7 linked regions of the Rattus norvegicus genome follow. The protein of the gene in region 4 interacts with the protein of the main gene of each other region in a pairwise test. Links are inferred from orthologs where the notes say so. Each region holds a gene or a part of one and is shown on either strand. Other genes may lie near its edges. The genes, in order: Exoc7, Cchcr1, Txlna, Ushbp1, Cep68, Bfsp2 and Dtnb.

What was found.
Region 1: the proteins of Ushbp1 (region 4) and Exoc7 interact in binary tests that used the Homo sapiens proteins (3 or more experiments, as listed by UniProt). The two-hybrid records come from large-scale screens. The link is inferred for Rattus norvegicus from reciprocal best matches to the Homo sapiens genes USHBP1 and EXOC7.
Region 2: the proteins of Ushbp1 (region 4) and Cchcr1 interact in binary tests that used the Homo sapiens proteins (3 or more experiments, as listed by UniProt). The link is inferred for Rattus norvegicus from reciprocal best matches to the Homo sapiens genes USHBP1 and CCHCR1.
Region 3: the proteins of Ushbp1 (region 4) and Txlna interact in binary tests that used the Homo sapiens proteins (3 or more experiments, as listed by UniProt). The two-hybrid records come from large-scale screens. The link is inferred for Rattus norvegicus from reciprocal best matches to the Homo sapiens genes USHBP1 and TXLNA.
Region 5: the proteins of Ushbp1 (region 4) and Cep68 interact in binary tests that used the Homo sapiens proteins (3 or more experiments, as listed by UniProt). The two-hybrid records come from large-scale screens. The link is inferred for Rattus norvegicus from reciprocal best matches to the Homo sapiens genes USHBP1 and CEP68.
Region 6: the proteins of Ushbp1 (region 4) and Bfsp2 interact in binary tests that used the Homo sapiens proteins (3 or more experiments, as listed by UniProt). The two-hybrid records come from large-scale screens. The link is inferred for Rattus norvegicus from reciprocal best matches to the Homo sapiens genes USHBP1 and BFSP2.
Region 7: the proteins of Ushbp1 (region 4) and Dtnb interact in binary tests that used the Homo sapiens proteins (3 or more experiments, as listed by UniProt). The two-hybrid records come from large-scale screens. The link is inferred for Rattus norvegicus from reciprocal best matches to the Homo sapiens genes USHBP1 and DTNB.

Annotation. Positions count from the first base shown.
Region 1 is NC_086028.1:102,036,502-102,040,551, forward strand, and holds the start of Exoc7 (exocyst complex component 7), read right to left. Parts: upstream 2,801-4,050; 5' UTR 2,737-2,800; coding exon 2,677-2,736; intron 2,520-2,676; coding exon 2,454-2,519; intron 1,134-2,453; coding exon 949-1,133; intron 752-948; coding exon 646-751; intron 1-645. UniProt on the Homo sapiens protein: Component of the exocyst complex involved in the docking of exocytic vesicles with fusion sites on the plasma membrane.
Region 2 is NC_086038.1:3,212,766-3,216,265, forward strand, and holds part of Cchcr1 (coiled-coil alpha-helical rod protein 1), read right to left. Parts: intron 3,383-3,500; coding exon 3,272-3,382; intron 3,094-3,271; coding exon 2,944-3,093; intron 1,902-2,943; coding exon 1,791-1,901; intron 1,534-1,790; coding exon 1,427-1,533; intron 605-1,426; coding exon 492-604; intron 328-491; coding exon 282-327; intron 131-281; coding exon 1-130. UniProt on the Homo sapiens protein: May be a regulator of keratinocyte proliferation or differentiation.
Region 3 is NC_086023.1:147,266,474-147,270,624, forward strand, and holds the start of Txlna (alpha-taxilin), read right to left. Parts: upstream 2,801-4,151; 5' UTR 2,688-2,800; intron 2,238-2,687; 5' UTR 2,232-2,237; coding exon 2,066-2,231; intron 1,369-2,065; coding exon 1,030-1,368; intron 1-1,029. UniProt on the Homo sapiens protein: May be involved in intracellular vesicle traffic and potentially in calcium-dependent exocytosis in neuroendocrine cells.
Region 4 is NC_086034.1:18,099,068-18,103,300, reverse strand, and holds the start of Ushbp1 (harmonin-binding protein USHBP1), read left to right. Parts: upstream 1-1,433; 5' UTR 1,434-1,524; intron 1,525-1,769; 5' UTR 1,770-1,841; coding exon 1,842-1,895; intron 1,896-2,107; coding exon 2,108-2,229; intron 2,230-2,424; coding exon 2,425-2,860; intron 2,861-4,233.
Region 5 is NC_086032.1:98,669,069-98,673,044, forward strand, and holds the start of Cep68 (centrosomal protein of 68 kDa), read right to left. Parts: upstream 2,801-3,976; 5' UTR 2,687-2,800; intron 1-2,686. UniProt on the Homo sapiens protein: Involved in maintenance of centrosome cohesion, probably as part of a linker structure which prevents centrosome splitting. Required for localization of CDK5RAP2 to the centrosome during interphase. Contributes to CROCC/rootletin filament formation.
Region 6 is NC_086026.1:112,939,447-112,943,578, reverse strand, and holds the start of Bfsp2 (phakinin), read left to right. Parts: upstream 1-1,332; 5' UTR 1,333-1,397; coding exon 1,398-1,889; intron 1,890-4,132.
Region 7 is NC_086024.1:32,285,080-32,289,281, reverse strand, and holds the start of Dtnb (dystrobrevin beta), read right to left. Parts: upstream 2,801-4,202; 5' UTR 2,531-2,800; exon of another isoform or gene 2,516-2,530; intron 1-2,515.

The sequences.
Region 1 (4,050 bases), on a different chromosome or scaffold from region 4:
GAAATGGCCGGTTTTATGATTAATGTGTTTGTTTTGCTTTATAGGGTTTTGCTATGTAGCTCTGGCCATCCTGGAACTCACTATGTAGGCCAATCTGGACTTGCTGCAATCCTGCCTCGCCCTCCTAAGTCCTAGTATTATAGTGTGAGGCACCCTGCCTAAGTACAGGAGATATATATATATATTTTTTTTTCTTTTTTTTCGGAGCTGGGGACCGAACCCAGGGCCTTGCGCCAAGCGCTCTACCACTGAGCTAAATCCCCAACCCCTATATTTTTTACCATAATGAAGAAACCACCAATGCATATATAAAACTCAAACGCTAAACTTACATTTGAAATAGTACGATAAAAAAATTATGCCTGTAAGTCCCGAGGCACAGGACCTAATGTGTGCATTCTGAATGCTATTATCTCTCCCTCCTTTATATGTTTGCTTAACATTTTGAGATATGGTTTCACTACATAACCCAGGCTGGACTGGAATACCATATACCCCAGGCTAGCCTCAAGCTCCCAAGTTCTAGGCATGAACCACCACACCTGGCTTCCACATACTTCTTTAAACTGTCACGTGTCCCTCATGAGATGCGGATGGGGACTGATGTCCGTCTGTCTGTCTTACACTAGTCCACAGGTTCCTTACCACTTTGTTGAGCTCTGGGCTATCTGGGCTGTTGTCCTGAAAGTACTCCACAGCCTTCTGGATTTTGGCCATGCTTCCCAGGTATTCTTCCAGCCTACCTGTGGGGCTGGGAAAGAAGACATCACCTGGGTCAGTCAGCCTTGGAGGACGGGGATTAACTAGACAGACTACAGACAAGATCTGCAGGAGAGGAAGGGAATCCCTACGAGGGGCTCTACCCTCAAATGTGTTTTACTGCCTTCTAAGGACTAGGGCCATGGGTCCAGGAGACATTAATTATGTGACCCTCTGCATGAAACTCACCCCTCTCTGATGATCTTCTCCGTGTCGCTGGCTACGTGGTAATAGCTGATAACATGGTCCAGGCAGGATAAGGTCTTTTCGACATTCTCCTGCAGCCTCTGTAGGTTCTCTGTCTGCTTGTGCACAGGGATGATGGAGTTCTCCAGCTTCATGAGTCGGCTCTCAAAGGACGACAGGATAGACACCTGTGGGAGGAACTCCTCTGGTTCATGGCCCTCAGGGCTGTCCTGGAAGTACTCAGACATTTCTTGTCTTTCCTTGGTTTTCTAGACAACAAGCTACACATAGGAAGGCACACGGTCGACTTGTTTGCTACCCTGTATCCCTAGTGGTTCTGGTATGTGGTTGGAATTTCATCTTAAGGCAAGATAAACATTCAACTAATTCTTGCTGAGATCATCATTCCCAGGGACCTACAGAGATGATTCTGTTCTTGGACTTGTATTGAGTTCCCAGCATGCAATTTACTCCAGTTACAGAGGATCTGACACCCTCTTCTGACCTCTGCAGGCGCTGCCCATTCATAGTATGCATACACACATGCAAACGCTCATACACATAAAATACATTTTCTTAAAAAAAAAAAGATAATCAGGCTGGAGAGATGGCTCATCGGTTGAGAGCACTGGCTGCTTGTCTGAAGTCCTTGTTCAATTCCCAGCAATCACACAATGGCTCACAACCTTCTGTAATGAGATCTAGTGCACTCTCCTGGCACATGGGCATATACACAACCAGAACAGTATACCTAATAAATAAATCTTAAAAAACAAAAACAAAAACACTTCAGGATAGCTTCCTTTCTACCCTTGAAAGCCAAATCTCAATTTCTGTTCTCTCTGAAGTTTTCCTAGACTGAACAGAAAGTAGCCTTACCCAGAATAGTTGCAAATATTATTACTGTTGCCTAAAACGAAAAACAAAACAAACAACAACAAAGCCCAAAAAACTCTTTCCCCAAGGAAAAGATCAAGCACTTTTAAAGTATCTATCATATACCAGACACTGTGAGCATGTATATGCCCCTTCACAGACACACTGGGAGGCTGACATTGTTTTACCAGATAAATTACCCACCAGGAACCACTAAAGTAAGCTGTGGTACAAGGGCTAGATCTAAGACCCATTAGTTCTCTGAGACACTTCTGTTTCTAAAGCCCCTTGGGACTTCTCTACCTCGGTAATCTCACTAGCTCAACCTTTCAGGCAAGCATGCATCGCTTGAAGTTGACAATGACACGGAGCCAGCACCAGACCATGTACAAAGTATCACTAAATGTTTGCAGAAGGACAGACAGTAACAGGTCCAGGCCAGCGGTATCCTCAGTGAGGGGGTGGAGACTGGGGAGTAGAGATACCCATCGCCGCATGAGATGCCTACATATTACCACAGTTTACTACCCACGCTGGAGTCCCTGGACTCAGGCGCAGGACACGTCCATCACATGCCCCTCCTCTGGGGCCCAGGAGCCTGTCTGCAGCCTCCCAGCTGAGGGGCAACTCACCATGTTCTTAGTGAGCTGGTCGCTCTTCTCCAGGCTGTCTCGAATAAAGGACAGCGTCTCCTCCTCCTGCGAGGAGCAGAGAGGTGGACATCACCACAAACGGATGGTGAAAGACCACCACCACCACCACCACCCAGCACCACGGCCTACACCTAACCCTATGTCCCCTTCCACCCCGGTTCGATGCTCCTGCGCCCTTCTTTCACTTCCTCCCCAGCGTCACCTGCTTCAGCTTGTCCTCGATCTCCCGCCGCCGAGCGGAAGCCTCCTGCGGGGGAATCATCGCAGCGGACAGCGCTGTTCCCACTCCCCTATGTCTTAGCTCCAAACCCTGCTCGGCTTCCGTCCCTGTCACACCCACTTCCTCCCTCGGCCCCGCCCCCGGACGCTCCGGTGGCGCCATGTTGGGAGTGGCAGGCGGAAGTGTGTGCCTGCGGTAGCTCGCGAACGGGCTGCGGATCGAAGCCATCTTGAATGTGGCTGGACAAGCTGCTCACCTGAGGCATAGATCCTTTGCTCGCCTCTTTGAAAGACAGACCCTTGCTGGGAATTCTGGCTCACATCTTCACACTCTCACACTGGGAGACTGAGGCAGGAGACCATTCACGAATTCGAAGCCAGTTTGGGTTACATAGTAAATTCCAGGCTAGCCTAGGCTACAGTGTCAGACTCGGTCCCCAAACCAAAAACCAAGCAAATCAACAATATACCTGAAAAAAAAATTTTTTTTTGAGACCATTCTGGCTGTTCTGGAATAGGTTGTGTAGACCAGGCTGACTTCTGCCTACCGTGTGCAGGATTGTAGTGGGTATACAGGGTATACAGTTCTTTCCTTCACGTGTGTGGGTCCCAGAGGGATTAGATTCGGGTGTCAGGCTTGGTAGCAAGTGTATTAACCTGCAGAGCTATCTCACCAGATCATGATTTATTTATGTTTTTTTTTTAAATTGTGTATAGATGTTTTTTGCCCGTGCCTGGTCCCCTGGAAGGCCAGAAGAAGGTTATCTGATCCCCCTGAAACTGGAGTTACAGTTATGAGCTGTCATGTGGCTTCTGGGAACCCTAACCCTAACCCAGGCCTCCTGGAAGAGCAGAAAGTGCTCTTAACTGCTGAGCCATCTTTCCAGCTGCCACCCCCTGATTTGTGATAAAAGCTCTGGCTGAGGTGATGAATTTGTTTCTGCAAATCATACCTTAACGGTTCAAGTCTGGAGACAGGATCGCACACAGAGTGGCTCACAATAGATACTTCAGGGCTTTTGGGGACCCCACGTGGAGATTAATAATAAAGACACTGAGACATCTGTATAGTACAAGGCTGTTTACCTGTTTGCCGGGGCAGTCCCTCAGCTAGCCCACCAGATTCATCCCCACTTCCTGCACGGAGTATGTGGTTGGTTGGTTGGTTGGTTTGTTTGTTTGTTTGTTTGTTTGTTTGTTTGTTTGTTTGTTTCTCTGCTCTATCTCCCTGCCTTGCAACCGTTGCCCCTCCTGTTGCCCCAGCTCAAGGCACCAACTCTTCATTTCTCAAAAGCTAAACTCCTTACTCATCCAGTCTGAGCCAATCAGCAGCAGGTCAATCCCTGGGCCCTATCTC
Region 2 (3,500 bases), on a different chromosome or scaffold from region 4:
CACCTCCTGTTGGATCAGGTGGGCACTTAGCTGCAGTTCTGCATCCAAGCGGTTCCGTTCTTCCCGTAGCTGCTCCAACTCAAGGCTCAGGTCCGTGTCCGGTGGGGGTGCAGGTTCAGGTGGGGGACAGCTGGGACAGCGATGATGGAGTCAGAGAAACCTCCCCAGCAACTGAGTGACCGGTGCCTCCACCCCTCCTTGGTCCCTCTGGGTCCTAGCAGCCAACAGGTTGTCCCCAACATCCACACACACCCCTCCACCTCAATGTGCCCGAACTTTACCTCTCCAGGCGCAACTGAACAAGAGCCAACTTTCGAGCCATCAAACCTGAAGAGAAGAGAGGACAGACAGATGAGAACACGTGGACAGAGGGTGGCGGGGAGCACAGGACAGTGATAGTTACCAAGGCAACAGAGGACAAACATGGGGTTAGATCCAGAGCTAAGAGGAAGAGGGCTAGGCCGGAAGGAGGGCTAGGTCATTCTGTGTACCTTTAATGGTGTGGACCTTACGGACAGCATAGCTGAGCCGGTTGCAGAGGCTGGGAATCCGGGCTACAGCCTGGTCCACCCTGGTCATGGTGCTCTGGAGTCTGGCCTGAGTGCTGAAGAAGATATAGGTCACTCACGGTCCTTCCTCCCCTCATCCCTTCAAGACCCGCAGGGTCTGGGGCAGAGGACACGTCTGTCCTGTCCTGGTACATGAGCGGGGAGTGTGGGGGGAGGGGGGGGGCTGTTAAGTAGCCAGCAAAGGAGAAACGGGAGCCTACAGGAGAGGCAGGACCTTGGCGAACCCTGCAGGTCAATCCAGCTCCTTAGCAAACCTAGAGGATCTAAGTGCTTAAGCTCAGTCAGAACATCTCAACTGGGGTACGGGTGTTCAAAGCCTGGAAGGGCTTTCTGGTAGCTTTTATTGAGAACCATGTATGTGATCTGGCAGAAAGTAAAACCCCAGACACGACACCGTAACATCTTCCTGGAGGCAGGCACGTGCAGAGCTTTGAATCTGGTTCTTCTAAACTAGTCTGACTCTGTCTGTGCAAGTTTAAAAGTTTCAGCTTTCCTTTCTGGTGCCAGGGATTGAAACCAGAGATTCCTGAATGCTGGGTAAGTGTTCTGCTACTGAGCTATAGACCAGCCCAGCTGTACAATTAGGGTTGCAAAAGAAGGAAGGAGGAAGAGAGGGAGGGAGGGAGGTTTGCACACGGCTGCAGTTCCCTTCCCTGACCTCCGAAGTCACAGCTCCTCCTAGCTGCCCTACTTAGCTTCAGAGCACAGTAGACCAAAGTGCAGGAAGCCGGCATACTCCATCCTGCATCCTCCTGCCTGCCTCTCTCTCTCTCTCTCTCTCTCTCTCTCTCTCTCTCTCTCTCTCTCTCGCCTGAGGCTCTTCCGGGCTCCTCCACCTGCTGCTCTGTGACAGATACCTGTTCATAGCACTGACCACGAACTTCAGCTGCTCCTCAGCAGAGGCCGCCTGCTGCTCCTGCCTCCACCTGGCCTCCTGCGCCTGACTCAGCTCCATCTTCAGGGTCTGGTAAGGATGCAGCTTTGTGTGCGCTCTCTCTCGTACACCTCCCTCCCTGGCCCCTGGCCCACAGACCCAGCCAGGGTCTTCTTCACCCTCCTTCCCTAAGGAGCTTCACCCTCCTCCCTTAAGGAGCTTCACCCTCCTCCCTTAAGGAGCTTCACCCTCCTCCCTAAGGAGCTTCACCCTCCTCCCTTAAGGAGCTTCACCCTCCTCCCTTAAGGAGCTTCACCCTCCTCCCTTAAGGAGCTTCACCCTCAGACCTTGGTGCTCATCCGCTCCACCTCCACCTGTGCAGTCTTGTCTTGTAGGGCACGCTGCAAGATGGCCTGCTCCTGGCTTTGGGCAGTCACTTGCTCCTGGAGCTCTGCTACCTACAGGAGCAGAGGGAACTGAGCAGGGAAATCTAGAGCCAAAGCTATGGGGAATGCCGGTGAAGGAGACGGGGCAGGAGTCTCCAGACTGGGGCTGCAGAGATGGCTCAGTGGTTAAGAACGCTGGCTGCTCTCACAGAGTTCGAGTCCCTTTTCCCACAGGATGGCTCGTAACCATCTGTAACTCCAGTTCTGGGGGAGCAAACACCTCCTGACTTCCATGGGCACATGGTACACAGACATACATGCAGGCAAAACATTCAGACACATAAAACAAAATAAACACACCTTTTCTTTCTTTCTAAGACAGGGTTTCACTATGTAGCTCTGGCTGTCCTGGAACTCACTATGTAGACCAGGCTGGCCTCAAATTCAGAGACCCTCTGCCTCTTCCTCCTACCTGCTGGAATTAAAGGAGTACACCACACCCAGCTAAATTAAGTACGAAAGAAAGAAAGAAAGAAAGAAAGAAAGAAAGAAAGAAAGGAAGGAAGGAAGGAAGAAAGGAAGAAAGGAAGAAAGAAAGAAGAAAAGAAAGGAAGGAAAGAAGGAAGAAAAGAAGGAAGGAAGGAAGAAAAGAACGCCCAGTGTGGTATGGTGTGGTAAGACGTACCTTTAATTTCAGCATGAGGAGGGGAGAGGCAGGCAGATCACTTATTGGCCAGTCAGGTCTACAAAGTGAGTTCCAGGACAGCTACAGTACACAGAAAACTCTGTCTTGAATCTTCTTTCTGAGTCAGGCTGCCCACGCTTTGGGAAACCATCCTGATCCCTTCCCCTGACTGTGCCACGCCCTGATGGATGCTGTGGCCTGCTCAGAGAGGCCGTCCCTGACCATCCTATCCATCCACCTCAGTCTTGTCACCACCGCTTCTCCGTAGCACGTGTATGACGATGTGACCCATTTTTCTGCTTCTCCGTGCGTCCTTCTAGGACTCAAGCTCCGTGAAAACGGGGACTCTTCTGCTCAGGGCTCTGTGCCCAGCATGTGGCAACCACCCAAAGACTAACTGTCATCACTGGGAGAGACACAGCCCCTGACCTGGTCCCTCAGCTGCTTGGTGGAGTCCCTGTGCTGCAGGTCCTGGGCTTTGAGCTGCACCATAAGGGCAAACACCTTCTCCCGCCAGCCGCGCAGCAACGAGCGGCACTTCTTAGGAAACTCGGGCTCCAAGGGGTCTAGAGGATGAATCTGCACGTGGGAAAGAAGGGAATGGATCTTCTAAGGAGGCGGGAACTGGTGACCTTGTCCTTCCAGTCCTGCCATCCACGGTGAGGCGGTTAGGGGTCTCAGTAGTATACCACCTACCTTCCCCAGAGAGGGAAGGCCTACAGCAGGGCAGGGTTTGGAGGATGAGGGAGGGGCCTACCTTCCTGGTCAGCTCCTCTTCTTGCAGGGCGAGCATGTGTGTGAGGCTCTGTACCCGTACCTGCAGTAGCTCCACGGTGGCCTGAAGGTTAGTCCTGTCCTCCTTCAAGTGCTGGGAAAAGAACTCCATCATTCAGGATCCCCACGCTACCCTCAGACCGAGGGTAGTCCCAAGGACAGCATGGCTTCCCTTCTAGAGGGCTATGCTCTCTCCTCCCAATCCATCCCCT
Region 3 (4,151 bases), on a different chromosome or scaffold from region 4:
CGCACGCGCACGCACGCGCACACACGCGCACACACGCACACACGCGCACGCGCACACACGCGCACACACACACACACACACACACACACACAAAGAGAGGGTATTGCTATGTAGCCCAAGCTGGCTTTGAACTCAGCATCTTCCTGCTTCTGTTCCTCCTAGTTCCCCATTAGAGGCATACACTACCATATTTGGTTTGCATTAGGTTCTAAGTTCGTATTTTCACATTGTCCCATCACTCCTGTCCTTTGTTTGTGATAAGGTTTCATTATGCAGCTGGCTGGTCTGGTACTCAGGAGATGCACTTGCTCCTGCTTCTCAGGTACTGAGGTTAAAGGTGTACGCCATGGTGCCAGGTTGCCACTGCCTTGCTTTACCTCAGCCGGGAAGCCTTACAGCTGTCTCCCTTGGGTTCCACTGTACTCAGCACAGACCAGGTTCTGAGCTGTCAGCCCTGGGAGGCCCAAAAGGTAACACGGAGATGGCAAATCCAACCAATGGAGGCCTCTGCTTACTTTCTATTATTTTGGTTACCAATTATTCAGCTGGTCAGATGCGACTGGGGGACTAACCAGGTAGGAGTCAGGTTTTCAGATCAAGAAGGCCCTTTCTTGATTCTGAAGAGGTCTGTGGCTTACCTGGTCCATGTTGATATTTCAACCTTGGTGTAGCCCAATTCTATTGCTGTACAAACAGGGAAACTAAGACCCTCTCTAGGAGTGGAGAATAAACATGCCCAAAGTCAAACAGCAGGTTGAAAGTGGTGTTGTCGAGCACTTAGGCCTCCCTCCGGTTTTCCATATTCCCAGTGAGAAAGCTAGTTGGATTCCTGCCTCCACTTGGCTCCCAAGGCCAGGAGGCCTTGCACAAGTGAGTGATCTGAACAGCTCAATGGGATGACCCCATCTTTGACTAAACTGGGGGGATGTACTGTCTTGAAAAGCAGATTCTCTTGTGTCCAGACAGAGCAGGCTAGCCCATGAGATGGCAAGTGTTCACTCCCTCCCGTCAGCAGGAGCTCCCCCTCACCTAGACCCTTGGCTTTCTTCTTTTCCTGTGGCCTTCGAAGGTCTCGGTCTCCAACCTCGTCACTTGCTCGGATCTCTTCTGTGCCAGGCTCCCCCTTAGAGGTCTCTTTCTCGCCATTGACGACTGGAATGCCCGGTTCAGGCTCCCCATTCCTGGCTGCATAGGTTCGGGACTTCTCTGTGTCTTCAGGCTCAGTGGGCTCCCCCTGAGCTCCCTCCTCACCTGGGCCTCCCTGATTGTTGTCCACACAGTATGTACTCAGAATGTCTTCCAACTGTCGGCTCAGCTCCTCAGAGACATCACAGAGGGCCCCAGACTGAGATGCTTTAGCTCGAGCGCCTACAAGATGAAGACAGTGAACGTTAGGTGGTTACACCGCTCCCTTGGGTTTTCTTCTTCTTTAAGCCCAGACAAACACCACTTGTGTGGGTTAAACGTTCCATTTATTTATTCAGTTGAGACAGGCTCTCTCTACAGGGCCTTGGCTGTCTGGGAACTCACTATGAGGATGAGGATGACCTCAAACTCAGATCTACCTGCCTCTGACTTCTGGGTTCTGAGAACAAAGGTGAGGGCCACTATGCCTGGCCTCAATTTAATTTTTTTAAACCCTAAGTCGTATAAAACGTTTTTATAAGACGAAACAATTATTTCTAACACCCAAACATACTTGTTATGACCATCAAAGACAACTGTGTAAAGCACCCCTACAAGAGGGACGACTGACGTGTAGCAGACGCTCTGTCTTATGAAGGACAATTAATCACCGGGCACTGGCAAGTGGGAATATGACTTTGCTTATGGGGCGCCTCATTTGATTGTCATTTGGTTTAAACCAGTCAGAGCATGCCCCCAAGGTTCCGTTCCAGGGCTAAGAGTGGAAAGCTTCATCACCTCCCTAGGAAACATGAGGATCACAGAATGGGCATTGTTTCATTCTATAGTTCCTCCTTCCTGGGTAAATACTGGCCTCAGATAGATGCAAGTACCAGAAACTCCTCCCTCTGCCCACTGGAAAAGCAGAGCTGGCACACACCCTCGGTCTTCCCAGGAGCCTGGCTTGTGGAACCTTCAGCTTCCGCACCAGGAGCTGTCTGTCTGGGCCGTCCATGAGCTCCCTCCGGTCCTGCTTCCCGTTGCCCAGGGCTGTTCTTCGGGTTGGAGTGTTTGGCAGGCCCATTCTTTTTGTCTTGGTTCTTCATTGTGATCTGCAAGGCCAGAAAAGGGGTAGATCCTTTACGGACACCGCTGCTATTTTCTAGACTTCAAAATTCTTCACAACCTAGATGAGAAATCTCCAAATCTGAAGCTCTAAGCTTCAAACAAACTGGTCGGCCTTCGCCTGAGACTTCACGGTCCCGGGCAAGGTTTCCGAGAAGCTGCACCAGCACAGAGTGAAGGAAGGAAGAGGCCTCCCTTCTCCTGAATGCCACTTCTCAGCACCACACGGCTCCCTCTCGGCAGCGGGAGCGCGGGATTGGCTCAGAGCCGCAGACTGACGTGGCGGGATGCTCCAGTCCCGACCGGCCCCCCGCCCCACCAGGTCCCACGTGGGATTCCCGCGCGCGCGCGCGCGTACACAGAAGACACCCACACCCCACGCGCCCTCTAGACCCGAAGTACGCATGCGCAGCACGGCAGCACACAACTCTCCCCACCCCGTCCACAGAATTAGTTGTTCCTCCGCGGCTAACGCGTCCTGGGTCATGGACCCTCTGAAGAGCTCGTCCCGTGTACAGCCCAAAGACATACTTCACCGCGGACGTCCGACCGCGTCCCCGACTCTGGCCGAGCACCGGAAACCTGGGTAACTGCTGCCAGCTGGACCACCCTCTCCTGCGGCAGCCAATCAACAGCAAACGCTGGCGCGGAGCTTGCTGGGAAAAGAGGCCAAGGCGGCTTTGGAGGCGGGAGTGGGAAAAACTACGAGTCCCTTCATGCCTTGCGGCAGGTCACAACTCCCGAGATGCAACCGAAAAGCTTAGGAGCCAAATACCCTGAGGGTCCGAAATTATGTCATTCGGTCTAGAGATTCGTGTCAGCCTCCTTCCTAGTACAGAAACTATGATTGGCCCTTAAACTTTGGCAGTCTGGATTTTTTTTCATACACTCCCTTATGAACATGTATGACTATTTTAGGATCTCTGAGGACTTGCGAGTGGAAGAGAGAAAGAAGGGTAAACTGTGAATTAGGAGATATTTATCTCACGCCCAAACCACTAATTTGTTATGTGCCTAGTATCCCTCCCCTCTCCATTCCAGTAGAAGGTTTATAATAATCCAAACAATGTGTTCTTCCCTCGTATGTAATAGCTTGGTCCTCATAATTACTCAGAGAAAGAACATTATACTCAGAGATCTGGGAAATATAGGGCAGTACGGAAAAGGCTAATTAAAAGAAAAAAGTATGTACTATTGTTTGTTAGAGACAATGTCTCATGTGTGGCTTTGGCAGGCCCCGAATTCTCTAGGTGTATCAAATTGGCCTTGAATTCAAGAGTTCTGCCTGTCTTTGTCTCTCCAAGACTGGGACTAATGGCACGGGCCACCATGCCCAGGTAAAGGGTAAATAATCTATGGCTCCATCCATCAATACTGTGTGCTTATTGCGGATTCAAACCTGGAAGCCTGACACCACCCATCCTTTTCTTAATCTTCTCCCCAGTGCCCCATTCCATTCCACCCAGCCCAGTCAGGGTTTCTCCGTGTAGCCCTGGCTGTTAGTCTTTGACTATGCTGGCTTCTACCTCAGATCCAACTAAAACCCATCTTAACCATTCTCCGCCATCACAGGCTTTGAGACCAAGTATGCCCCGCCTTCTGACATCACCAGCTTGGATCCTCAGGAGGGGATTGTAGCAAGGAGGTTTGGCTTTAGGCGGATTGGTAAACTCCCACTCAGCCCTGCCCCACTTTCTGCAAAGTACCACGTGCTCCTACATGGGCTAATGCTTTAGAAAGTTAGATTTTGTCTTTGTTCATTAGGATTTTCGATGCTTAGATCATTCAAAAACAAACACAATTGTGATTTCAATTATTTACTTGTTTGGAGTTTGCTATGTTTGATAAGGTCTTGCTTTCTAGTGCTGCCTGACTTGGAACTCGCTATATAGATCAAGCTG
Region 4 (4,233 bases):
TGTCCAGGAACCACCCTCAGGTGAAGTAACAGCTTGTTCGTTTTCCTTTTTGTTTGTGACAGCTTCATGTGGCCCAGGCTGGACTCTAACTCTAGAGCTATATGGTTTATCCACTGTAGAAGCTTCCCAAAGCTCCTTTTCCCCTGAAGCGGCGCCGGTCAGGTTCCCGGGGAAACACAGGAAACCCAAATAGCCGACCAACCTTGCAAAGGATGCGCCTTTCTCGGGGTAGCGTCTCGGGACTTCAAGCTTCCCCCCCCCCCAAGTTCTCAAGCAGAACGAACCTGAAGCTGCAGCAAGCCGAGTCGAAGTTAGACCGCGGCGACACAAAGTTCGCGCGCGTTCACACCGCCGCAGGTTCCACTGCCTGGGTACCGGGGCCAGTCAATCAGGTCTCTAGGAAGCCGCCATCTTCCTTACCGGAAGTGCTACCTTCTGGGAAATGTAGTTCAGTGGCCTTCAGGACGTGGAAGCTGATAGGCTGAGGCGTTCTAGGGGTGTAGCTTGGAGTGTAACGGGCTGGAATGGGGCTGAAGAGGGAGGGGTAGTATTGAGAGTGGGTGTGACCCGTGGTGAACTGAAGCAAAACTGAGAGGAATTTGTAGTTCGGGCTTAATCACACTAAGGTTCTCAAGGCCTCTGCTGTGATAGGACAAGAGATTGAGCTGGGCGGGGCCGTTTGATGATTGACGGGGTAGGAATTGGCTTGGACTTGCCTAGGGCCCTCTCAGTTACTTATGTGACTTGGGCTGGTATTCATTCACTAGTTCCGCGATGCGAGCTGGTGGTGCACACCTGTCATCCCAACACTCCAGAGGCCCGAAGACGAAGATCGGGTGTTTAGACAGCCTGGACTATATGAGACGCTGTGTGAAAACCAAATGGAAAGAAAAAGTAAAGAAGCCACTGTGGACAAGCTCACTGTCGCCGGTGACTCCAACGGCCTGATGCAGTAGTTCAGTCTCGTTGAAGAGAAACCTTGTGGGCTACTGAACAGGTGCAGGCTCTTGCCGCCAATCCTGACGACCTGAGTTCGATCTCGGAGACAAGCAGTACCATCACAGACAAAGATAAATAATGAAAAATAAAAGCTATGCAAGTGCTGGAGCCAACTCTCTTAGTTTTGTTTTTAGAGACACAAAATAAAATTTTAAAAAGACCTTCACATTAGAGCGAGCCCTGATGAACAGGGGGACACAGAAAATCCAAAATAAAAATGGAGGCACTACATGTTTGGGCTGGGATAAGGGGATACTGATATCTTGGAGTGGGACAAAGGTCCTGGTCCTCCATCCTCTTCCTGTTCTGGAGGAAGCTGGCATCCTGGAGAAGGAAACAAAACAATAACTGTCCATGTGATCAGGGTAGGGAGCTTCCTGTTTCTCAGCCTCTCCCAGGCCACCTTTGGCCATTGCAGCCTCAGTAGCCAGTGGCCAGAATGGCCTGAGATATTCTTAGGAGTTCAGACCTTTCCCAAGGTGCCCTGGAGAAGAAGAGAAGAGGGCCGCAGGGCCAATCCCCAGGGTGAGGGAGTTTGGTACTAAGAGAGTCGTGGGAAGAAGGAGAAATCTTAGGATACCACTCAATGCCTCCATAGGGAAGAGAGGGGGCACAGATAAGAGAAATGAATTCAGACAGCGGAGGGAAAAGGAATGCCCGGTAGAGATGGGTGACGGGGAGGAGGAGACAAGTAAACAGTGGGCACTATTGGAGAGGTATTTAAATATTTAAATGTGTCAATCAGTTCAAACGAACCAAAACTCCTACAGGAAAAAACAAAAAACAAGGATACCAAGGTAACAAAAGGCAAGAACTGAGAGCAGGCTGTAGTGACAAGAGTAATGAGTGCCCGGGCCACACGACCCCGAAGCCGGCGAGGGAGGCATCCTCTGCCTGTAAGTGTGCCCCTCTTCCTGCCACACCCAGCCCATGGATCCTGGGAACCCAGGTCTGCTTGGCTCAGAACCTGTTGTGGTACAGGGGAGACCTCCACAGGGAGAGCTGGATGTGATGACCAAGAGCCCGTGTGTGTGTGTGTGTGTGTGTGTGTGTGTGTGTGTGTGTGTGTGTGTACGCACCCGCACATGCACGGGAGTGTCATTCACAGGGGGAGCTGGACCCAGTAGCTGAGAGCTCAGAGGAGGTAGATACCACCAATGGGAGCTTCGAGACTAAACCTGAGCTGCTTCAGGAACATCTTGGTCCTAGCCTGCAGGGCCCTGGGAACCGGTAGGATGCCGGGGCCCATACTCAACTGCCTCCAGCTGCTCACCTGCCATAGCTTCCCCTGCCCGCTTCTCTCCTCTTCCTTTTTACCCTCCAGCCATGAAGCTCAGTCCCTGCTCAGCCTTCCTAGGGACCCTGGGGTCAGCCCTCCGCCTCTGCTGAGTCTCAGGTGGCTAGGGTTCCTGATTATCCTCACAGGATCAAGGAGGATTGTGATGTGGGATCCCATGGGGTCCTACCCTTGAGCCCGGAAGAACGGCGCGAGCCTGAGGTGGAAGCCCACCAGGCCCTGCAAGAAGCCCCTCTGGATACTGGCCCTGCTGAGATAACAGCACCCAATGTGTATGAGACCTTGAAGTGCAGGCTGAGCTCCCTGGAGGCAGTTGTAGCTGCCTGGCGCCGCCACTCGCTAAGCTTTTCAAAGCCAGTGGAGGCAGAAGACAGAGACCCGGGAGCTCCGGGGTCTTTTGGTAATGAGGAAGAAGCCTCTGGACCTGGACAGCAGGAGGCAGCGCACTTCATAGAGAGGAACGCCTGGCTCCGGCTGGCCCTGGGCACCCGGGAGGAGGAACTGGCGCGGACTCAGGCTTCACTGCAGGACGCCCAGGCAGAGAATGAGACTCTGCAGAGACAGGTGAGCTGGTGACTGGGAAAGAGGCAGATCCTGCTTTGAGAGTAGACACTGACGTGGGTGGAGCAGTGGCAGATGTGCCAAGGAAGTGACCAATAAAGACAGCGCGGTGAGAGGGGGAGCAAGGGAGACCGGCAGTCTGCACCCCACGATCTTAACACGCAGGAAGCTCAAGAGGGACAATCTCTACTCTGGCGAGCCCTGGCTAAGACCAACGTTCTTCTCAGCTGTAGACTGAGTCCAAGGTTAGCCTGGGTTACAGACCCTGTCTGTGTCAGTTGCACCGCAGACAGACAGACAGACAGACAGACAGACAGACACAAATCTTATCTTGGGGGTGGTGTTTTTTTCCAATTCAAGGTTTCTCTGTGTAACAGAGCCCTGGCTGTCCTGAACTTACTTTGTAGACCAGAATGGCCTCGAAATCACAGAGATCCCCCTGCCTCTGCTTCCCTAGTGCTGGGATTAAAGGTGTGAGCTATGCCAGATTTGTTTTAAGGTTTCTATTGCTGTAATAAAACACCACAATCAAAAGCAATTGGGGAGGAAGAGATTTATTTCATCTTAAAATTCTCAGGCCTCACTCTGTCACTGAGGGAAGCTCAGGCAGGAACTTGAAGGCAGAGGTTATGGAGGTGTGCTGCTTACTGGCTTGCTCTCCATGCCTTGCTCAACCTGCTTTCTTATCTCAGCCTGCCCAGGGATGGCACTACACACAATGGGCTGGCCCCTCCCTCCCCATCAATCGTCAGTCAGGAAAATGTCCACAGGTCCAATTGGGGGAGCATTTTCTCAATTGTGGTCCCTCTTCCAGAATGACTCTAGCTGAAGTCAAGTTCACACGAACCAGCACAACTCCTGAGATCACTGTAGCTGGAACTGAGTGGGAGAGGTGAAGGCACGTGGGGGAAGGTCACAGTACGCAGGGTGCTGAAGGCTGGGCAGGATTTACAACTGTGTTCTTGTGTGTGGTGGGTTCTGAGGGGAACCCTGCTGCAGGTGTTCACTTGCGCCATCTGATGCCTGTGAGAGGAACAGTCTGGCGGTGGACCATAATCCTGAAGGTGGAGGAGGGGCGACAGCAGTGGCTCGGGGCGTTTAGTAGAGGTGACCAAAAAACCTACAGATTATGGGTGACGTTAAACCCAGATGTGATAGGACAAGCCTGTAATGATAAGGACTTCAAAGGCTGAGATGAGAAGATCATAATTTAGTACTAGCTTTGAAAAGATAGGCAATCGTCTCAAAACAGAACAGAGCCCTAGCTGGTTCTGCTAAGAATCCTCGTCAGCCTGTGGGCGTGGCTCAGGGTAGAGTGACAGCGTAGAATACTCCAATGAGGGGCTAGGGGCGTGGCTCAGCGCTTAGCTTTCAGA
Region 5 (3,976 bases), on a different chromosome or scaffold from region 4:
AGGGATGCTCCTTTCGGTTTGGGGCCTCAACAATGAAGCCTCACCGGACTCACAGGTCCAGAGAGAAACGCCATAACACACCCAGCGGCAGATCGTGTCTAGTAAGCGAGGAAGAGGAAAGGTGTGAGCAGGGCATGGAGCTCAACAGGATATGTGGCTTCACGGCTTCTGGGAGCGGGCAGCACAGTGGAGGCCAAGCTAGGCAGGACGGTAACACACAAGGGGTAAATTCATAATGACAAAAGGGAAGACAGGCTTGAGATGGCCGAAACTAGCTGTATGCAGGGTGGGTATCAGGAAAACTGTGGTCAGCTTTTAGAAAAGGAGAGAAAATGCTCTCATAAACTGTCCTGTCCCTACCACACGCATGTGTGCTGCCTCTGACCTCCACACAAGTAACTGCTTCACGTGGTGGGGATCCCTGAGGAGAACTGTGGTGAAGGACAGATATGATCAGCACACTGCATACAGGTATGCAATTTTCCTATGCACATGTATGCTGTACCTACAGAAGCCAGAAGAGGGGTGGACCCCCTGGGACTGGAGTTGCGGACAATTGTAGTGGCCATGTGGGTGTCAGGCACTGAGACTGGGTCCTATAGAAGAACAGCAGCCAGTGCACGTAACTTCTAAGCCATCTCTCCAGCCCCCATATGAAAGGTTCAAGAATTAAAATTTTTAAAAAGTTTCAACCTTGTGGTCCTAGTGGCCCTGTGGGTGGATGGTGGTGGTGTATTGGTGCTGCCCTGACAGCGGTAGGCAGTGGGGGCCAGGGCCTGGTACATACTTCCAGACCCTCTTCCTGCCACAACAGGGTAAGGACTTTAAATCTATGAATACTTTCCCAGGTCACAGCAGCCTTCACAAAGGGCTCAAGAATGAAAGGACAGGGAAGGATGGCCAGCCAGAAATGGAGAAAGAAACGGGACAGTACTGGGGAGAGGGAACAAGTCATGTGGCAGAAGGTAGATAAGTATAAACGGGTTAATTTAAGTTATAGGAGATAGTTGGAAACAAGCCTAACCTAAGGCTAAGTTTTCAAAACTAATAAAAGATCTCTTTATCATTACTTGGGCGGCTGGCAGGTCGAGGCAGTTCGGTGATAATTTGGTTTTCAAATGCCAACTTACATTCTAGATTTATTTTAATTTGCTGTGCTGGATTATCTTTTTTGTATATACCAGAATTTGGTTTGATATTTAGTTGATTTTTTTTTCCACTTAAATTACGAGAAACCGGTGTGAAGCTTTCTTTTCTCATGTCATACTTGTCAAATGTTGATATTGGTATTGCAGTGTTTCATTAAACAATTTGGTAAGTTAAAAAAAATGAAAGGACAGAGACAGTGAAGAAGCAAGAATTATACAGATGCTTGGTACTGGTACTTGAGCGGGGGCAAGACGAGACAGGGTCTCTGTGTTATATAGCTCTGGCTATCCTGGACACACTATGTAGGCCAGGCTTGCCTGAGTCTCGGTGATGCACCTGCCTCTCTTTTCTAAGCACTCCAGTAGGTCTTTTCAAGTACCTCTTTTTATCTTAGGTGTTTTAGGGATTTGCACTATTCCTCTACCTATCCATTTCTTTTTTTTTCCTCGTCGTGCTGGGGCCTAAATTCCACTTTATAGATGAGAAAACTAAGGCACAGAGAAGTGAACTTATCCTAAATTAGTAGTGTGGAAGGGACTGACGTCTGATTCAATTCCGAGAGCACAGCTGCTTCCCTAACCTGTAAAAATAATCCAACAATTTAAAGGCTTTTAAAGGTCCCGGTTTCCTCAACTTTTGGCTTAACTTGTTCTTGTTTTCTTTTGGCTTCCTTCCCTTACAGACCTTTCATCCTGTTAGGGGATGGGGAAACCACCTCAGTGCCAACAGAAGCCCATAAAGGCCGCCCAGAGAAGGGTATGTTTTTCAGTTGTGGGGACAGGGAAAAACTTTTAAAAAAGGTTTCGTGATGATGTGAAGCTGGGTTCCTTACACTGTTCCTAAGGGATCCAGATTTAACCCAGTCCGCTGGGGAGAACAGGAGGAGTGGTGGCTTGTATTTTAACCAAGCCCGAACCATAAAGTGTCGCAAGTTGTATACCAGACTACCTCTTTCCGTGTCTAAACCTCATCAATTCCAAGTGAGGTCTACTCTGCTCGGGCATTGGCAGTTTTTCGCTTCCTTTTTTTTTTTTTTAATAATAAACAACGCACTGAATAAAACATGGTAATCATAAAATTACTAAGTTTGGGGCATGTGCCCCGGGGCTGTGGAGACTGGCTAACAGGTGACAAGGGTAGATCTTAGAGATAACCAGTGAGACGCTTTGCTTTCCTCCTCGGATGCGTTCACTGTGCCAGGGGAAGCAGCGGCCACCCGGACGCGAGTCGCTGTGACCCGCTGATTCCCCACGACCAAGGTCGACGCGCGCACAGCTGCATGGCTGCCAGAGGTGCGGCCCCACGCGCTCTGCAGGCCGCGCCGGTCCTCCACAGCCTGCCTTTTCGCTCCCCTCCACCCCGCACGGCCCGCAAGATGGAGGCGAAGGCGCGAGGCGCCCCCACTGCGGCCAGCCTTTGTGCCCTCCGGGCCGCGGGCCTCCAACAGGGTCCCCCAACGCGCAGCCCCAGGCACGCGGGGAATGCCCGGTCTCGAGTCTCGGCGCAGCGACACTCGCGCCCGCCACAGCCTTTTTACCTCACTCCGCGCCGCCGCACGTCCCAAGCGGCTGGGATAGCTGGGCCGGGGTCCCAAGCAGCGACGACGGGCCTCCTGCGGGCGCCCGCACTCCTGGGGCTGGGAGGGCCCAGCGCCCGCCACGCCCTCCGCCCGTGCCGCTTCTCCGTGGAGGACGCCCGAAGAAGCAGCCAATCCAGACCCTCGGTTCGGATGCTTCACTAATCCGCAGCCCGCTTCTGCATGAGAGCCCGCCCCCTGCAGGGCCCTGGCCTATGGGAAGCCGGAGCTCCTTTCTCCGCTGCTTCGACGCGCGGGCGGGGTGGGTGTTCGCGGTCCTGGCGCCCACGCGGACTGGCGCGGGTAGCAGGGCGCGCTCTTGGCGGATAGGGGGCCACTGTGGGTTCAGGCTTGTGTTTGGGCGGACGTGCTCTCCGCCGCAGGGAGGGTGGTTCCAGGCCTGGTGCTCCCCCTTTTACGTTGTGTGGAAACCCCAAAGGCATGCTCGAAGCAAGGGCGGGAGGCGGGCGAGGACCAGGATTGGGTTGAGCATCCCTCTGCCGGTCATCACCATTCGGAGCCTCTGAGTCGCAGGAGGCCCAGACTGTCAACACCAATAGTTGGAGAAGGGACTTCCATAGTGGCCTGGGCCTGTGCGGTTACAGAAGGAGCTGGACTGATCCTAACACGACAGAGTCCAACTTAAGGATCACAAACTTGACTGCCAGGCTGGCCTGGTCAAGGGGCTTCTCCTGCCTCAGCCTCCCCAGTGTAGGGAGTACAGGCAAGCTCTATCATGACCAGCTTTTTATTTGGCTTTTTTTTTTTTTTTTGTGAGAGTAAGTTTCACCGTATCCCAGGCTGATTTTGAACTCCCGATCTTCTGTCTCTGTCTTCCAAGTACTGGGTGTTTTAAAGTGAAAGTGTATTGTTATATACAAGGCCTTTAGTTCCCTCTTCAACCCAGAAGGAAAAAGTTAAAAAGGAATTCAGAACTGAAATATGTCGAATGGGAAGTTAGCATTTACCAGTGTGTATCCAGTTACTTGTTTAAGGGGGGAAAAAAAATAAAGGACTTAAACGAAGTCGTTTAGCAGTCAATACTGTAAACGCGATTGAGCATCTGGATGGTCTCAACAAGGTGTGTTCTGTACTCTTCTTTGATCTTGGCCCACCGTCCTTCTGTAAATGTTCCTGCTCAGTAGGAAGGGCATCCTGAAACCCAGAAGTTCAGGAAACACAGTTCAGAGAGGAAGCCTCCTCAGCAGAGGCGGTGCAGCTCCCAAGGGAGAGTATCTCCAGCTGAGCTGA
Region 6 (4,132 bases), on a different chromosome or scaffold from region 4:
AAATTGATTTCTGTCCCTGTCTCTTGCCTGGGGTCAACCCTCATCAACCCTCCCATTACAGGACCAAGGAGTCCACGGTCCATCTCTGGACCTAGGGTGTATGGTTTCAATACACTAAAACCTCACCTGGCACATGGCTTTTTAGGACCATGTCCTGCTCAGGCTGGAGGGACCATTCTACCCCCGAGAAGTGACTGGCATCTAACCATTGACAGTGTGACTTGGAGGATGCCAAAGATAAGGAGTAAAACCTGGGATGCCTGCTCACAACTCTGTCACTCCCGTTCCAGGGGATCTGACACCCTCGCACATATATGCATGCGGTTAAATCACCAATGTACATAAAAATAAGATAAAAATCCTTGGGTGCTGAGGAAACCCTAACTTGGATAGGAAACCCCTTTGTTGTTTTCCCTTCTTGGTCTTATTAAAGGGTGAGACAGAGGTGAAAGGGAAACCAGAGCCAACAGCTGCCCAGCAAGCAGCTCAGGTCCTAAACTCACTCCTGAGCGTCTGCTGTGTCAGAGTTAGCAATCGAGCAGCATGTACAACAAGGTCGAGAGGACGAGAAACAAGGCCAACAGCCAGCAGCTGACAAGCACAGTGTCAGAGGGCAGACATGGCGGGGAGGGAAGAACGGAGCTGAAAGGGGCCTGGAACAGCTGCCAGACCCGAAGGGAGAAAGCATGAGCAGGCTTGCTTCGTTTTCCTTGGGCCTCTGGGGCTGCCTTCCTCCGTGGCTGGGCTGGCTCATGCACACATTCGTACATGAAGGGATAAGGCCAGTCCTGTAAACCGCCCTGGGGCTCTTGCATGGAGTCTCAGCTTGTAGTGTGAGATCTGGAGATCAGAACGCTTGTCTTCTAAGGTTCTGTAGCCCGATTCCTCACCAGTGAAATAGGGACAGCTTGTTGCCCACCTGACCTCTCTGTGGTAGTAACATACTCATCAAGGCCAAAGACTGAGGTTCAGAGAGTATGCATGAGGCCCGATTCTGTCACAGGAATTGGAGGCAGAAGGATCAAAAGTTTAAAGTCTTCCTGGCTACATAAGGATTTTGAGGCCCACCTACGATAGAGACACTATCTAAAAAGAAATAGGCAAACCTAGATGACCCATTCCCACAGGCAGCACTGCTCTACCCCCAACCCCAGAAAAGTCTGGATGTCTGGGCACATGACCCAGCAACAGAGAATGCCTGTGTGCCTCTCACAGGCTGGTAGGGCGCTTCTCTTCCAGCTCAATGAATGCCAGAAACTCGTGGAAGGCAGTAGACAAAGAGCTCGGGGACAGGGGAGCTTCCAGAGAGGCCCGTGACCAGGCCATGGGGATGCTGGGGCGGCAACCAAAAGCCACTGGACCGTGTGAACCTGCCATGCACCACAGAGGCAGTGAGAATGAGCGAGAGGAGAGTAGCAATGGACTTGCCCTCAGGATCCAACGCCAGCATGCCCCTGCAAAGGCACAGGGTGTCATCCCTTAGGGGAACACGATCTCCTTCCTCCCTGGATAGCCCCCCAGCATCCAGGACCAGTGCTGTAGGTAGCCTCGTCCGTGCCCCTGGGGTCTATGTAGGAGTAGCACCCAGTGGTGGCATAGGTGGCCTCGGTGCCCGAGTGACCCGCCGGGCCCTGGGCATCAGCAGTGTCTTCCTGCAGGGCCTGCGGAGCTCAGGCCTTGCCACTGCACCTGCTCCAGGCCCAGAAAGGAATCACGCCACTGCTGAGGACCTGGGGGGCTGCCTAGTGGAGTATATGACCAAGGTGCACGCTCTGGAACAAGTCAGCCAGGAGCTGGAGACACAACTACGGGCTCACTTGGAGAGCAAGGCCAAGCGCTCCGGAGGCTGGGATGCCCTCCGTGCCTCCTGGGCCAGCAGCTACCAGCAGGTAAGTCCTCCAGCTGTGCCTGGAGGTTTACTAGAGGTCTGAGAGAGGATGGTGAAGGTAGTGAAGATGGCGCAGAATCAGAGGCCAGGGAAGCGGACCACTTGCATACCAAAGCTGCTGGTGGTCTAAGATTAATACTGGTGAGTTGCCATTCACTGAGGCTGACCAGGAGCCAGGACCACCCAGGCATAATGTACACCCGACGCACACCAAAAACACCCCAACAACGTTCTGCAACCAATCTCTCACTGTGTATACTTTTCAGATGAGAAACCCAAGTTGTGTACAAGGTCCCAGGCCATAAGCAAATAGAGCAGCGATTCTCAACCTGTGGGTCACAGCCCCTTTAGGGGTCACATGCAGATATCCTGCATATCAGATGTTTCTGTTCTGGTTCATAACGGTAGCAAGATCACAGTTGTGAAGTAGCAACAAAATAATTTTATGGCTGGGGGCCACCACAACATGAGGAATTACTGTATTAAACGGTCCCAGCATTAGGAAGGTTGAGAACCACTATAATGGAGATGCAGCAGATTATGTGACCCTGGATTTCCCTTCCTCAAAGTTGCACTTGTCCTATTATCTGGGACTGCCTCCGTCACCGTTAGTGCAAAGGGTTTTCAAGCCTTCACAGAACCCAATACCATTGGATGGATGTGCTATTTTAAATGGTGACTAAATAAATGGGGGGTCTCCTATATCCAGATAAAATGAGTATATGGGATCAGTGGGAATATGGACCATACAAGTAATTTTCAATTTCCTATTACCTATGGTGTGTGTGTGTGTGTGTGTGTGTGTGTGTGTGTGTGTGTGTGTATAAACAAGTGAATTTGGTGTTAATATTTTGTTTGACTCAATAAGGAAAAAGATTATTTCAGTATGAAATCAATACAGAAATACGAGCACAACAGTTCTGACTCAGATAGACCCTTATGGAGGATGGAAATGTCTTACAGTCTTGGCCATCGGTTATGTGGCTTCTCCTGGGCAGACATGGACAAATGCATTTTGCCCCAGGCAGGGCACTACCAACAATCAAATATTTTACCCAAGTCTAGCTTAGTACCAATGAGTTTATCGGGGTTACTTACCAAAGTTGAGTATGATTGTATCAAAGGAGACTGCACCCCTGAAAAGCGCACGGGCAAGACTCATGAAAGCTATACCCCAAGAGCTCCCTGCCCAATTTGCAGGTAGCGCTAAAGAAGAGCCTCCCCTCCCCACAAGGGTTTATTGCATATATAATGGGGGAGGGCGTGACTCTTACAAGGCTCTAAGCCTTCTAAGTTTCCTCAAACTTCCTGGATCTTAGGATCCACCCTCCTCCCTCCCCTTCCATTCAAAAAATTGCTACATCACACCATCCATGGCAACAGAGTCCTTGGAATGTGGCCTTTGAGACTGAGCACTTGACACTTTGTTCTACCCGGATTTTGTTCCTTCAGATCACCACCTACAGCCGACAGTCATCTTGCTGGGCAGGGGTGTGGCAGCCTCCTTTCCCTGTCACCTGGTCAGAGTTGCTTTTTTGTTCCCTGAAATAATTTCCATAGAACTCTAAGCTCATCTACCAATTGCGCCTGCAAGCTCTGGTTCTAAGACTAGAACACACACCCCACCCCCCAGGCATTGTCCATCTCAGCTCCGGGGGTAGCTGGCTCTGCCTTCTTCCCTGAATGTTGGCCTTGGGATGACTGTGAACTAAATCAGTCTCTATTCCAGAAGTAGCCAAGTCCCATTTGCTCCCTGGAGTCAGATATGTAGACTGAGAGGAGGTCAACGAGTGGCCTACGTGTGGTTGGGTGATACCAACAGAGGCACACATGGAGGCCCCCATTTCAGCCCGTGATGCTTCTCCTTCACTGTTCTCAGCAGCCCATAGAGAAGGGAATACAATACTGTCCTTCTGGCCAGTGCAGCTGTTCTGTCCACACTCCTCTGAGTTGTGAGGGAGAGCCTCAAACATTCAGGGCTTTACAGCCTGTACAAGAGGCAGCCACTCCTCTGGGAGTCCCCACGGCTATCTTGAATTCAAATATGTGTGGCACACTAACCCCTAGAACATGCCATATATTTCATCTCAGCAGCATCTGCTGGACAACATGATACTCAGATGCCATGCACATACATGTACCAGGAGGCACCAGGCATCTCAATGTCGAGGTTAGAGAGTTCAGATACAAAGTCCAGTAAGCAGATATCGAAAGTGGCTCCAGAAGCCGAACGTGCGGATATCG
Region 7 (4,202 bases), on a different chromosome or scaffold from region 4:
CAACCTAGACAGAATGCTATAGTAAAATGCAAAGAGAGCTGGAAATGACTCAGTGGATAACGCACTTGCCACGCAAATATACGAATTGGAGTTCAAATCTCTAGAACCCGCATACAAGCCAGGCAGGTATAGCAGCCACCTACAATGCCAGCGCTCTAGAGACAGACAGGAGTCATCAGAACGAGCTGACTGGCTAGACTAGCCAAATTGGCCAGCTCCAGGTTCAGGAGGAGGCTGAACTTAATAAATAAGTAAGAGAGCAACTGAGAACCTCCAGTGTCAACTCTGGGCTTTCACAGGCATATACAATGTATGGTACATGGATACCATATGCAGACTCCCCCATACCACATACACATGCAAAAAAAGTAAAATGCATAGAAAAAGGCCTGGGAAGAAAACAACAAACTGGTAACCGGAGTAGAAAAAGGAGTAGGTATGTCAAGGGAGTTTTATTTGGAGCAATTTACAAGCAAATATGCATTCTGAACTGCTCAAACTACTGCAACTCCAGGAGCTGCCAGCACAGAGAGACTCCAGTGCAAAAGACACCCTAGAACAGCAGCGTACCTCCAGCACATCTAGAAACCACAGCTCTAATGCTTATGTAATTTTAAGTTAATAAAATAGAGGGAGGGGTTGTCCCCAAGACAGCAGGAGTTAACTTTCTCATGATACAAAAGTATATATTTTGATTGGGATAGGTTACAAAGTACACATGTCTTTTCTTTTTTTGTTTGTTTTCTTGGGGGAGGGACTTTTGTTACTTTGTTTTGCTTTTTTTGTTGTTGTTGAAACAGTGTCTTCCTATGTAACCCTAGCTGGACTTGAAGTGATCAGCTTGCCTCTGCCTCCTAAGGACTTCAATCTAAAGACATATGCCACCATGCCCACCAATATGTACCATTTTTTCAAAATACCCAACTCAATATGCAAAGTCTATCCATTTTATCCTATGTAAACTACACATGAAGAAGGCACAGTAGTGCACACCTGTAATCCCAGGACACATAGATAGGAGAATAGACATAAGTTCAAAGTCAGAATGACAGAGAGAGACCCTATCTTTAACCCAAACAAACAAAAAGTTTGTTTTAACCAGCCATGGTGCTTCACAGGAAGGACTAACAGAAGGATAGCCACAGTTCAAAGTCAACTTACAGCCTGGGCTACTGTATTTCGAGTACCAATATAGCTGGGGTTACTACTCAGCAAGACCCTGCTTCAAAAACCGGGGGTAGAGGGTTTATTTTCAAATAAATGTAAATTAAATATCTAAATAAAATATTAGAAGTGCCCGAAACAAGACACCCAAATTTGCAAAGCCACATAGGCACCCCAAAACAAAACCTAAGAGAGACTTAATGGTTGTACCCTGAAATGCAAATACTAATTAAAATGAACTAAATGAATATACTTCAAGGCTTCTATATATCCAATGACAAATTTGGATTAATATTGCTCTTATTTTTTATATAAGGAGACTAAGGGTCAGATATGTTAACATCTGAAGACATGAAATAAAGGGTAACTGGAAATCCTGCGCACTCTAATATTTTAACTATATTCTGTCTCCCGGGCAAAATTCAGTGAAGCTAAAGACCCTGCCAGCACCACCTTGCCTGCACAACCCCTTCAGAGGCAGTTCCACTTAAGTCTGATAAAAATCCTCAGAGAACACATAAAAGGTCAAGTTTTAATTTGGCAAGCAAAGTAATCCAACAGGCATTGCAAGCCAGGGAAAGGAAGCAGCAGTATGGGGCTGGAGAGTCCAAGCAAGGCAGAGGACAGAACTCCAGCCCTTACAGACCTGAAGAGACTTAAGCATTCTCTCACCTCAGAACCAAGATCCAAGAGGCAGGATAGAAATTATAAAGTGTTCTCTAGGCAAAAGCTCCCTCCAGTCCTCCTCAAACGACAGAGGAGGGGGGAAAAGGCCAATGAGAGAAGGACCGGAACCTGACTTCAAGCAGCCACCCAAAGAACAAGCTTCTGGTGCACAACATACAAGAACCGCGTGGATGAAGAAGTGGCCACAAGCCACCGGAGTCTGCCACCTAAGCCACTGGTTTAGCGTCTAAAACCCTGGGTTACCTGAGAAGGCAAAAAGAGAATCCTAGGACCAAAGGAAGCCAGCGAGCATCCCTAACTCTACAGAGACTGACACTACTTCATATCAAATGTATCAAACCCTGGTCCCTCCATCCACTCCTGCAGTGGGCATCCATTGTAGGGCTTTCGGGATCCAGGCCACATCCTGAGGACTGGGCAGAAAACAGGCGCGGAGCTTAATTCTAGTTGGGAAGGCAAGATTCTCCTTCCAAATTTCTTTCCCCTCTCTTTTAAATGTCAGTAAGACCCTTCAAATCTCTTCCCAATAGCTCCCACCAGCTTTCCTCAAGTATCTTACTTTCTCCACAAGCCAAGCAACTTACGGCCCAGTTTCCCAGGGCTGGGAAAATCCTAAAGAGACCTGAAGTGAACAGAACAAGAAACATAAAATAGAGCACTTTACATTTTGTGTGTATACTTTCACAGCCGGACTGTCAGCACTTCAACAGCAAATAAATGATGGTTGAGAGTGATAAAGTCGTGACCCGGGCGCTGACCGCGGTTCTCTCCTGCTCCGTAGCTAATCAATAAACGCTTGCAGAGAATGCTAGAAAGGTCTCCCTGATTCCCCAAGGCCTGGCACAGGAATTTAACAGTAAGCATTCGTCAGCTGCATCCTCGCTCTTCTCGGGACACTGTGCCCATCAGAGGTGACCTGAGTAGACAGGTTCGTCTACCGGGAGCCTCGGGAGACACTGAGAGGTGATCTGGAATGAATTCCCTCCCCTCTGCCAGGGCCTGCCTACCTCACCTGCCCTCTGCCAGGACCTGCCGCCTTCGCCCCCTTCAGCACCTAACGCTGAGCCTCCTCCCCGCAAGTCCGGCTCAGGCTGCATCAGCAGCGCGCGCAGCCGGGTTCTGCGCTCCGCGGCCCCCCGCGCGCCCGGGTGACCGGAGAGCCCTCTCCGGCCCGGCGTGCGGTCTCCCAAGGGTCGCCGTTCCAGGGCCGCGCGCTCCGCCACCCCGCAGCCCTCCTTTTCGCTCCTCCAGCCCCGGCGGACTCCCCACCTGGCTCGCTTCCCGGCCGAAGCTGAGGGGCCGTCGCGTGGCTCTCCGGCGGCCGCAGCCTCCTCCGACCCGGCCCCCTCGGCAGAGGCAGCTGAAGCAGCGGCAGCGACTGAGGCGGCGGCGCCCACTCAGGCCCCGGAGCCGCCCCCGCGGCGAACGTTCCTGGCGCCGGCTCGCGCCGCTTCCCCGCCCGGCACGCGCAGCGAGCCCGCCCCCGGCGCGAGGGCGCGAGGGCGAGGGCGAGGGCGGGTGCGCGCGGAGGGCGGGCGCGCGGAGGGGCGGGGCTTCCGCCGCCAGAGGGGGCGGGGAGGCGGCCGAGTGCCCTCCCGCGGGTTTGCGCGCCCCCTCCGGGCCTCTGCTGTGCGCTGGCCGCGGAGGCGGAGGTGGAGGCGGAGGTGCGCTTCCACTCCACAGGTAGCTGCCGGGCGGCTGGGTGCTGCGCCGACGTGACTGAACCGTAAGGAATGCGAAGAAATACCCGGTGAATCATTCACCCGCGCCTCGAGCGCCGGGTCCTCCCCCGAGTGACTTTCCACATTGCCTCAGCAGGCTCGTTTGAGCACTAACTCATGCGCCTGGTGCCCGGTGGACACGATCTGGGTCACGGCCCTGGTCCCCAAGAGCGCATAACTTAGGGAGAAGAGCAGCCTTGCGAAGGACCGAGTCCGGTCCTCTGCGCAAAGGCAAGCCACAGCCGGATGCGGTGAGAGGATGAGGAGGGACAGATTACTTTCCGCTTAGTCGTTCAGTAGTTCCTGAAAGTGGGAGTATTTGGACATTAAACAGCTTGGACAAGGGAGCAGGGGCGACAAAGCTTCATTTATTTATGTATCTATATTTATTACCAACTCATCTATCCTTTTTTAAAGCATTTATGTTTTATTTTATGTGTATGAGTGTTTGGGCTGCAATGTTTGCACCCCGTGAGTGCCCCCGGAGGCCAGAAGAGTGTTTTGGATCCCCTGGAACTGTGAAGTGTGGATGGATGCTGGGGAATCAAACGCAGGTCCTCGGATAACATAGCAAGTGCTCTTTGCTGAGCCATCTCTCCAGCCCCTCATATTGCCATTTTTTTATAGAAT